Linked DNA regions of Mus musculus. The protein of the gene in region 1 interacts with the protein of each later gene in a pairwise test. Links are inferred from orthologs where the notes say so. Each region holds a gene or a part of one and is shown in the gene's direction. Other genes may lie near its edges.

Region 1 (3,751 bases):
CTCCAAAGTGCTGGGATTAAAAGTGTGTGCCACCACACCTGGCCTGCAACAACACTGTAATAATTTTAAACACTAAGAGTTCTGTGGTTTGACATGGTCCAAACTGTTAAATTCTTTTTTGCAAATTGTTACATTCTCATGACATTCGCATCTCCATCTTGCCAAATTCCCTTCTATCCCTAGTAAGAAAATAGGCTGAATAACCACATATCTGTAGGGTGACTTATCCAAGCCAGAGTTGGAAAGCAGAGACAATAATCACAAGGTACGTTGTGTGCTGCGTTTCCTTATCACTTAGGAATGAGGTTGGTTCAATTCCTATCAACTTAATTAATAGCAGAATACAGAGCTCATTTCCAGACCACCACTGCTGACCTTGCCTGCTAGGCTGTCATTCAGATTCATTTGATTTGAAAGAAAAAGCCCCACCACCACACACACACCTCTGACTCATCTGTCCTAATTTCTTTGGCAGCCCTTTTACAGCCTGTTCTGAAGAAAGCTGCCGAAAAATATGAAGTCGAAAATATTAGACATGAGTTGGCATGGTAAGGCACACATAAAATCCCCATACTCACTTGACAGAGGCAGGGGGATCACCAGTTCAAGGCCAGTGCTCTATTACTGAGTTCTAGGCCAGCCGGAGCTACAGACTGAAATTCTGACTGGGAACATAGCTCTGCTAGTTCTGCTAGTAGAGTGCCTGCCTAGCATGGTGTGGGGTCAGAAGCACTTGGGAGATGGAGACAGGAGGATCACAAATTCAACGGTCCTGTTGGTTATGTGTGTTGGGGGTTGGGTGAAGCTCAGTGGTAGAGGTCTTGATTAGCATGTATGAGATACGAAGTACAATTCCCAGAACTGCCATGCCGCGCGCGCGCGCACGCGCGCGCGCACACACACACACACACCCCAGAAAAAAGTAGTTAAGCACACCCCTGCCAAGTGGCCTACTGGGGGTGATGGGGACTGCGTTGTTGAGACAGGGTTTCTCTGTGTAACTCTGGCTGTCCTGGAACTCACTCCGTTGACTCTGCTGTCCTCAGCGATATTGCCTGCCTATGCCTCCCTGATGCTGGGATTAAATGCTTGTCCCACCACCACTTGGCTACATGGCCTGTTTTAATGTCTCCCTTGTGTGGGGGAAAGAAACAACAATAACAACAACAAATAAAAATCCAACAGTGAGATTTTGATTCAAAGGGGGAAAAGGCATGTGAAATGAAAGTTTAAAAGAGGAAGTTGTGTCGCAAAACGTTAAAATAAGGCGCATTCCCGGGGTGGGAAGTAGAAAGTCCAAAAGTAACTTCCAAGTGCTCCGGGCTGGGAATCACCTACGGTTAGGAATCGTACTTTCCCGAATGCTATACAAGGAAAGCAAGCCCAGGTGAGAGCGAGCAAGGCCGCAGCGGCTTAAGGTCGTCGGTCCAGGGCAGCGGCGGGTCACGTGACCTAACAACATGGCCGCCCGCGGAGAATGCCGCCGGGCGGGGCAGGATTCGGAGCCGGAGCCGGAGCGGGAGCCGGAGTCCGAGCCGGGGCCGGAGCCTGAGCCCCAAGCAGGCCTAGAGTCCGGGGAAGCGTTCGAGATCGTGGACCGGAGCCAGCTGCCGAGTCCCGGCGAGCTGCGGAGTGCGTCGCGGCCTCGAGTGGCCGACAGCTGGTCGGCGCCCATCCTGACGCTGGCGCGCAGAGCCACCGGGAACCTGTCGGCGAGCTGCGGCAGCGCGCTGCGCGCGGCCGCGGGGCTGGGAGACGGCGGCGGCGGCGGGGAGCGCGCAGGTAGGCCGGGGTCCCGCGGGCCGGGGCTGCTCCCGGGCTGGGGAAACCTGACCGGCCGGACGAGCTGCTCCGCGGAGCTGTGCCGCGCGGCGCGGCACGGGGCTCTGCAATTGGTGTCACCCACCGGGCCAGGGTGACTGCGGCCCGGGACTCCCCTCCCACCTTGTTTGTCTTTGTGAACCTCAGAGCAGCTGCGTCGTGATCACGGATTGACTTTAAATAGGAGGTTTACATTAGAGGCTTAGACGGAAAATCACCAGTGTTCGTATTTTGCATACTTGACAAATGAAGTCCGGTGCTGGTCCCCAGTTAACAATCTCGGCAGCCAGCCGGTTTGCACCTGCGGCTGAGGTTGACAGCGTATTCCAAAGTTGGTGAGAGCAGCGAGTCAGAGTCAGGAGGTTTTAGTTCCCTTTATTCTCCCGCCACTAACCCCCAACCCCACCCCCCGTGGGACGAAGACTTCCCATCACCTGTCCTACTCGCGTTTCCCAGTCTATAAAAACGGGGATTAAAAAAAAAATTAATCAGCTACGTTGAATAATCCAATTCAGCTGTTATGATCTAGATTAGAATTTCAGCATACCAATAAAGAACAAAAGTAAATTATTATTTGTTTTTTATAGCTGGGCTTGGTGATTCGGGTGCATACTTCCTGCACATGTTAATGTACGTGCTCAGAACTGCGCTAATTATAATCCATTGGTGTTTCTGAACATATCTAAAATTAAAATATAAAGGATAGCCAAGGGCGTTGTGGTGCTCGCCTTTAAGACCCGCACTTAGGAGGTAAAGGCTTGTGGAGCTCTGAGAGTTTGAGACCCACCTGGTGTACACAGTGAGCCCCTGCCTCTAAATAAATAAACAGACAAATAAATAAATAACCACGTTTCACTTGGCCTGGTCACTTACTGTGAATGGACCATGCAGACTTCAGGTTGCTGAGGTAAAGTGAGTGTTGACTGTAAATGCCTGGGGCATCACGTGCATACAATAGACTTTAGTACCCAGATTTTATTTTAAAGAACAAAATCACAACAAAAACAACAAAAAAGCTTCTTTCCTTGGTAATGAATTAACCTTGATTTTTCGGTTTTGGTCTTGGTTTTTGTTTGGGGTTTTTTTGTTTTGTTTTTAGTTTTTTGTTTTGAGACAGGGTTTCTCTAAGTATCCCTGGCTGTCCTAGAACTCACTCTGTAGACCTGGCTGGACTCGAACTCAGAAATCCTCCTGCCTCTGCCTTCTTCATGCTAGAATTAAAGATGTGCACCACCACCGCCTGGCAATCTTGGTTATTTTTATAACCTTTTCATTTGTGTGTGTATATGGGTTCACATATGTTTGTACATGTGCTTGTGTACTTGGAGACCAGAAGTTGGCTGTTTTCCTCAACTGTTTAACCCACCTTATTTTTGAGACAAGGTCTCTCACTAAGCCCGGAGCTAACCAATTGGCCACACTGTCCAAAAAGACCCAGGTGTTAGCATTCTGTCTAAACTCCACCCCCACAGTTACCTAGCAAGAGCCAGGCAGGCCTGACCCACTATAAAAGGGGCTGCTTGCCCCCTCCTCCCTCTTACTCTTGCTTCCCCCTTGCTTCTCTCTTGCTCTTCCCTTCCCCCTCCCCGTCCCCCTCTCTCCACGTGTTCATGGCCATGCCCGGCCTATACTTCTCAACTCTCTCCCTCTCTCTGCCTCTACTACGCTCTTAACTTCCCTCCCCATGCCCTGAATAAGCTCTATTCTATACCATCATGTGGCTGGTCCCTCAGAGGGTAGGGGGTGCCTTGGCATGGACCCGCCGAGGCAGCCCCTTCCCCCATACCTCACCACACCCCCATAGAACATATCTTATACCTCTTTATCTTTTTTTTATAAACACATCGCCAGGTATCGTCCTGTCTCTGCTTTCCCAGGGAAGCACTGGGAATACTAACAAATGCTGTCGTGCCCAGTGTTTAACACTGGG
Region 2 (3,751 bases), on another chromosome or scaffold:
ATGAGTTCCTAGGCCAGGCCAGGTGCTGGCTACCACCCTTTCTGTTTGCATGGCTTTTGATACTTTTTTGCTGGGGGGGGGGGGTTGTCCCCCACCACCACTGGCTTTCCCACTCCCACCCTAATTATTAGTAGTAGATGACCCTGGAACAGAGGGCGGACAGGTGGACCTGAGTAAACCCCTACTCTTCCACAGAAAGATGTTTCGATGTCTCCAGTTGTGCTTTGAGTCTAAGCTGGAGCTAGTACTTTGTTTACATTGAACCTCGGTTAGTTTTGAAGGGAAGTATGTCTTTGTGTGGTGTCAAACAGCCTCACCTATTGCTGTGTGTCCTTGAAATACAGGCCTCAGCTATTTTTGTTCGTTCCTTTGTTTATTTAGAGAAGTTGGGTCTTGTTTTATTTTCCCTGGGTAACATCAAATTCACAGAGATCTGCCAGCCTCTGCTTCCCAAGAGCTGGGATTTAAGGCGTGTGCCACCATGCCCGGCTCAATTTTATTTTTTAAGTAAAGGTCTCTAACACTTCATTCTCTTGCCTCGGCCTCCCGGGGACTGAGATCACAGGTGTGAGTCACCACTAGTTTATTTGCTGTGTGGGTTTGTTTTGCTCAGTGTTAAAGATCAAACCCCAGGATTTGAAAAGTACCTTGGCTAAGCACCCTACATATGAGCGAGCAACGCCCCTGGCCCGTTTAGGCTATTACTCACACTCAGGCTAATACACATCAACTTTAAATGTACAGTTTCACTCGTTTGGGTGATAACACATACAAGATCCTACTTTATCTTGTGTGTTTCTGCTTTTGTTAAAGAAGCAATGTCAGGAGAGGATCACCTCACATACTCCCAGAGACTAATGAATGATCTTTCTTGCTAAGCATCGGTGTCTGCATCTTTCTCAACAGACTGACTCGCTAGATCCGTCTGGACAGTGTGCCGTTAAGTGGGGTGTGCGGGCACCCTTAAGCGATGGTCCTTATTCTTCTGAGTAGCATTCAACCATTTCTGCTAGCATACATTGACATATCAAAGCGAACCACGCGGTTGTGGATTTCGCTTAGTGCTTGAAAACCAGTGCAAGGTCCTGGGTTCAGTTCTTAGCTCCTGGGAGAGGGACAAAGGACCACCAACCTCGTCCTCCTCAATTTTGGAGAAAAAAAAAAAAAAAAAAAAGGTAAAAGATAAGCACAAAGCAAGCCACTCCATCCCGGAAAGACAGCCAGTCCCTGCAGCCCTAGGAGCTGGTGTTCCGATCACGCATGCGTAGACACGCCTATGTGCTAGAGGCGCTCCGGCAGGGGGCAGTATAGCGACCAGAGGGTGTAACGCCTGTCGTACTCTCTGGGCGTAAAGCAGCTTTGCTTTACGGCTCCCGCCTCCGCCGTAAAGCCAGCGTGCCCACGTGCGACAGCGACAACTTGCCACTGGGAACCTTGTGTTTTGTTTGTTTGTTTGTGGCGAGCTTGACGTTTCCGCTATGGGCAAACGCCGGAACCGGGGCCGCAGCCAGATGCTCAGCACCATGACCAAGAAGCAGAAGAAGCACCTCCGCGACTTCGGCGAGGAGCACCCCTTCTACGACAGGTCGGGGTGCGCGGGCCGCCGGGAGGGCTGGTTCCGGCCGAGTTGAGCCGGGTCCGGTCGGTGCAGGACGGGAACCCCGCTGCGGAGGTGCGCTCTGCACCGGGACCTGCTGAGACCGCGGGCCGTGCTGCCTGTCATCCGAGCACGCGCGGGCTCAGGCGCGAAATCGCAGCTTAGCCCAGCCAGGGCCGCGTAAGGGTCTCCAAAAACAGGACGGGAGGTCGGGAGATAAAGTTGGCCCTGAGAGGTGAACCCCGGTGTGCCGTTAAAAGCCAGTTTCTGACTTATCCTTTCTTAAGAGATGTCATTGAGCTCTCTTGTCTGTTACCCTTTTGTCTGCTGATCATCTCTGCCCTTGTGCATGCAGAATTTCATTTTTTACACTGACTGGATATTATCCTGTATTGGACATTTTTTTTTTTTTTGGTATTCATTTAAAGCAGAATCATTATGCCTTTTCGTGATTGTTACGAACTAGCAGCTAAAGTTTAATGTTATCTATTTCTATTTTAGGGTTTCCAAGAAGGAAGCCAAGCCGCAGATTTGTCAGCTGGTAATGCTTTTTTTCTTTATAGTAGTTGGAATTGGGTTGTTACCTTTAAGATTGGGTGTAAACGTAAAGTTTGGTTTGCATCCCCGTGTTTCTCTGTTTTGGGTGTGAGCTGTGATTTTAGTAATGCTACCCAATTGGTTGTAAGTGATGGAGACAGCTGTAGAAATTACCATGTGATGAGAGAGGCTATGGTTGGAAACTACCCCATGACACTGTCTTAAGTTCTGTGGAAGGGGTTCATCAGAGTGCTGGCTCCTTGTGCATGAAAGGCTTCACACAGTATAAAATGGACAAGGGGCCCGGAGACTCAGACAGTGACACTTGCTTGTAATTCTCCTCTTACATCATGCAACATGAAACCTGATGTCTGAGATGTAAGTTAAAACTCATAACCTGAAATTTTGTTTGAAAAGTCAGTTTTCTTTCCACGTGCAGCTGATGTCAATTAGAACCATAGCTTGGTTAACTGTTTTATTTAAGTTTCATGCCCGGCTTGGTTCAAGAGATGAGACTGTAATATTTGCTGAAAAGCTCATAGGGATTTTTGTTTTGTCTGTGAGTTAATGTATATTCATTATACAAAGTAGCGGGTTTCCTAAGGACTTTTCCAGTCAAAATTATCTGATCGTATTCATTTCCTTCCTTTGACTGTTTGTCTTCCATCTCTGCTCATCCCTTTCCTCTTCCCAAATTCTTGTCCTTTTGATTTCATGACTTCTAATTTCTTTTAAATCTAGTTTCCTTGTGCAAGAGAAAATATTACTTGTCTTTAGTCTGACTTATTTTTACTTCCTTATCACCCATTCTATCCATCCCCTTGCATGTGATATAATTTCCTTCTTTGTGGTTGAGGAAATTCCACTAATATGTATTTCTCACATTTTCTTTCTTATTTTTATTTTGACAACAATATATATATATATTAATTTCTCATTTTTCTTTAGCCAGAGAGTTCAGATTCTTCACATTCTGAAAGTGAATCAGAGAGTGAACAAGAGCACGTTTCAGGGTACCACAGACTGCTTGCTACATTAAAGAATGTTTCTGAGGAAGAGGAAGAGGAGGAGGAGGAGGAGGAGGAGGAGGAGGAGGAGGAAGAGGAAGAGGAAGATGACAGTGCTGTAGGTGATGCAGAAATGAATGAGGAAGCTGGCAGTGAGGATGGCAGTGTGGGAGAAGCTGCTGTCTCGGAGGCTGCTGAGGAGGCTGCTGAGACACAGGAACGTAAGTGCCTGGGGCCGGCCTGTCCTCTTCATTCTGTGTTGTGTGGGCTGAGTGAGAGCATGTGGTTCCAAGGCAGAGATTCAGCCTTGTTGGGTTGGGTTAGCTTTTGAGACTCTGATGGGAACACAGGACCCTCTCATCAGGAAAATGCTGTTGGCTTACTCTTTGGGGGACTTGTAACCTCCCGTAAGACCGCTTGGCGTATCAGGGGGACATTATGTGGTCACTGTGACAGCTCAGTTCACTGAAGAGGTTGTTCCGCTTCAGTAAGAGACCAGGTTTGATGGGAGGTAGACATAAAAATACAAACTTTCATGTTGTAGATTTGTTTATATGAAGCAGCTGGAGAGGAGATGAGGCTGCTCTCACTGGGTCCTTAAGGTGACTCT
Region 3 (3,751 bases), on another chromosome or scaffold:
GCTGCATATGTAGCAGAGGATGGCCTTGTGGGACATCAATGGGAGGAGAGGCCTTTGGTCTTGTGAAGGCTTGATGCCCCAGTGTAGGGGAATGCCAGGACCAGGAAGTGGGAGTGGGTGGTTGGGTGTGGGAGCACCCTCATAGAACAGTGGGAGGGAGAATGGGATGGGGGGTTCTGGAGGGGAAACCGAGAAAGGGTAAAACATTTTAAATGTAAATAAAGAACATATCCAATAAAAATAAGCATTAAATCTAAACATATTTCTCAGAATATATGCAAATAATCATGAAAAGAAATCTTAAAAATATTCAATATCACTAATCATAAAGAAAGTGCAAATCACAGTAGAATATCATCTCACCAAGATATGAAGGACAATTATCAAAAAGACAAAAGAGATACTTACCTAGCACAAGATATGCCATGATCATGAAAGCGGATTACCCATAGCAAGGTTTATACATTGCACTCAAAATGTGCTGACTCCCTGGGATTTCTCCTACTGCTGGGAAACTTTATTGCATATTTTATGGTAATGAGGAGACTGATTTTGTGCTCTTCTAATCAGCAGAGGGGAACAAGATTAAAGATAACAAGTGTGTGTGTGTGTGTGTGTGTGTGTGTGTGTGTGTGTAGAGCAAAGGGAACCCTTGCACACCACTGGTTATAAATAAATTAGGACAGCTATTAGGGAAAACAGTGTGAATGTTCTTTTAAAAATGTGTTGGAAATGGAGAGACGTATATGACACTTTGTTATTTGCACAAAAAGTATAGGATTAAATTTTGTGTCTTTTAAAAAATAAATAGCAATAAATGCACATGCATATGCCTGAATAATAATATTTGCATGTTTGAGCATGGAAACCCGGAGAAGACAATTATTCGACTTTTGTTTACTTTTATGTATTTTTCTAGATTTAATAAAAATTAATTAGATTTGCAATTGTAACGGCAGAGAGATTTTTATATTAATTTTTATAATAATTTTTATATTAATAGGAGAGTGGTCGGTATAATTAAAAACAGAACACATTACTCTCCTGTCCGTTTTTGTGTGCGCTCCTCTAACAGACAGTGTGGTGAAACTACTGCCGCGTCTACGCAGAGAATTACAGTAACTCGGTTTTCAGTGATGAGTCAGAGTGCGTGGTGCTGATGCTGCTGCCATTTCATCACCTTTGCGAGCGCAGCATCCATCCCTTCGTTCCCCCAGCGCCTGGGCCTACCTTGCTTCAGGCTACCAGGCCAGTGATGTTCTCGCGGCCGATCTAGAAACGGGTTGATCTGTGCTAAGGCCTTGGTGGGGCGCCCCCTCCCGCCTCCCCAGGCCCGGGCCGAAGAGTCCTGCCAGGCCACTGCCATGGAGGCCATCTGGCTGTACCAGTTCCGGCTCATTGTCATCGGCGATTCCACGGTGGGCAAGTCCTGCCTGATCCGCCGCTTCACCGAGGGCCGCTTTGCTCAGGTTTCAGATCCCACCGTGGGGGTAGATTTTTTCTCCCGTTTGGTGGAGATCGAGCCAGGAAAACGCATCAAGCTCCAGATCTGGGATACAGCGGGTCAAGAGAGGTTCAGGTGGGAGTGCACCACGGGCCCGCGCGAGCAGTGGGAGGGTCTTTGGGGCTTATTCAGTCCCTGGGGAAAGAGGACTTCCCGGTTCTTTTCGCGATGCTGCCAGGGTGACAAACAAGGGTCTGTCTGGGGCTTTTCAAGCCCACTTTGAGCTACCTTTGAGTTCGATGCAGGAAAGAACCGCCCAGGCAGGAGAAGGCCATTCATTATCACATTATTTGAACCACAACTCCATCAATCTGCTTTTGGTAGCTAATAAATAACTTGAAATTGATCACTGTATAATTCATCAAAATCAGACCCTATGATTCATAGTTTAAAAAAATCCAAGTCATTTTAACATAACTGAAAGCTATAGGTAGGTAGATGTATATTGACTTCTTTCTATATATCCGTTTATATTTGTGGGGAAGAAAAGACAGAGGGAGAGACAGAGACACAGAGAGAATGAATATGCCCTAATATAAAGGAAATGGAGACTGATTAATTGACTGTCTTGTAACCATCATACAGTCAGTTGCCAGAGGGTGGAATCATTTCTGAAGAAATAGTATGAGGTTACTCACATAAGAGAATTCCATATAAAGTAAATAGTCAGAGCCCCTGACTTCTTGGAACTTCAGTACTAGCATGGTCAGAAGAAACAGAAACAGAGGCAACACACAAAAGAGTGTTTTGTTGTTTGTATTTATATGCCACTCCCTACTGTACCACTGGGCACATAATCATTCAGCATGTTTATTTTTCTTTCACAATCCTTTGCTCTTCCTTTGTAGTATTTATTTGTAATTTCATGTATGAATACAGAGGAGAGACCGGAGAAGATGAAGCCCAAGTAAAGATAGGAAATGCCCAGAATAGGGAAAAGCATAAATAAAACATAAGTGACAGAAAACAAACTAATAAAAACTTTGTAGAGAACAGTTTGAACTAAAGTAAGGTAGAACAGGAGGAACCAGAGCAAAAGGACTCAGTTCATAAACACTGACTCATTCTCCACTGAACATTAGTTGGACGCAGAAGATACTAGTTAGGTAATTAAGTTGCCTCTAACTTCCCACTTGTACAAAGCTCTGGCAAATACTTTATATAAGTTCTCATGAATAAAGAAAGGTCTCTTATATATGTTTGCTGGGATCTCTGTATGAATGGCTTGTTCATATTTACTATTTATTATGTATTATATAGTATTGATTTGTAGGACTACTTTACAGATTATCCCAACACCAACAGTGGTGGCATAGCCCTATAATTCCAGCCCTCTGAAGGCTGAGGCAAGAGAACGATAAGTAGTTGAAGGCCAGCCTGGACTTCTGTCTAACAAAAAGAACATTAACCCTTTTATGTCATGTATGTTGTGAGCTATTTCCCCAATATGTCATTTGTATTTTTATGTTTTTTTTTAATTTAGGGTCAGTGTCTAGTTCTATATAACTTTACACTATGATTAAAATACTTTGATATCTTCTGTGCTAAATACAAACCACTAATGCATAAATATATTCTAGAGCTTGGATACACTGCTCATTGATTTCTCAAATCAACATTTTCACAAATTGGAGCATTTTCCAATACAATTATCATTCCCCATTAATCTTCAAACATAAAGAAATTATGAATATCCATTTCCCAGGGCTAATATCCCTGGTTCTAGAGACCTGAACTTATTTGTAAGGCCTACCCATATCATCTTCTAGCTTGGGCTGTAATTCCCTAGACATTTCCCCCACATTAACACTGAGCCATTTTCCCATACATTTTCAGCTATTATTTATCATACCCTCTCAAGAAGACAGAAATCCTAAAAATAGATTTCAAAAATTGCAGTAGTCTAAAGCAAGTGATTATATAGGCAAGTTATTCTACATCCTTTCATGAGATTCTACATTCTTAAGCAAAACACATTATATGTTTGTAATAAGGTTCGTCAACTCAAGAAACTAAAATATGTGATGTTTCTTCTGTTTAAGAAGTACAATAAATGTACAAGTAGGCTAAAATAACCTAATTACATGATTCAAAATAATAATATAACTTCATTGGAACACTTTCACTATTTTGGCAGATTCTCCCAGCTAGTGCCTCCTCAGTCAGCCTCTTTGAATTTTGTCAGTGAATACAGATGGAAGGATTTTCTCCAGAACAATATTAAATATGTTGTTTTATTTTATGTGT

What was found.
Region 2: the proteins of Rufy1 (region 1) and Utp25 interact in binary tests that used the Homo sapiens proteins (3 or more experiments, as listed by UniProt). The link is inferred for Mus musculus from reciprocal best matches to the Homo sapiens genes RUFY1 and UTP25.
Region 3: the proteins of Rufy1 (region 1) and Rab39b interact in binary tests that used the Homo sapiens proteins (3 or more experiments, as listed by UniProt). The two-hybrid records come from large-scale screens. The link is inferred for Mus musculus from reciprocal best matches to the Homo sapiens genes RUFY1 and RAB39B.

Annotation. Positions count from the first base shown.
Region 1 is NC_000077.6:50,428,815-50,432,565, reverse strand, and holds the start of Rufy1 (RUN and FYVE domain-containing protein 1), read left to right. Parts: upstream 1-1,440; 5' UTR 1,441-1,460; coding exon 1,461-1,782; intron 1,783-3,751. UniProt on the Homo sapiens protein: Activating adapter involved in cargo sorting from early/recycling endosomes. Regulates retrieval of proteins from endosomes to the trans-Golgi network through interaction with the dynein-dynactin complex.
Region 2 is NC_000067.6:193,127,878-193,131,628, reverse strand, and holds the start of Utp25 (digestive organ expansion factor homolog), read left to right. Parts: upstream 1-1,377; 5' UTR 1,378-1,478; coding exon 1,479-1,585; intron 1,586-1,645; exon of another isoform or gene 1,646-1,777; intron 1,778-2,098; coding exon 2,099-2,138; intron 2,139-3,082; coding exon 3,083-3,362; intron 3,363-3,751. UniProt on the Homo sapiens protein: Component of the ribosomal small subunit processome for the biogenesis of ribosomes, functions in pre-ribosomal RNA (pre-rRNA) processing. Essential for embryonic development in part through the regulation of p53 pathway.
Region 3 is NC_000086.7:75,575,621-75,579,371, reverse strand, and holds the start of Rab39b (ras-related protein Rab-39B), read left to right. Parts: upstream 1-1,140; 5' UTR 1,141-1,364; coding exon 1,365-1,579; intron 1,580-3,751. UniProt on the Homo sapiens protein: The small GTPases Rab are key regulators of intracellular membrane trafficking, from the formation of transport vesicles to their fusion with membranes.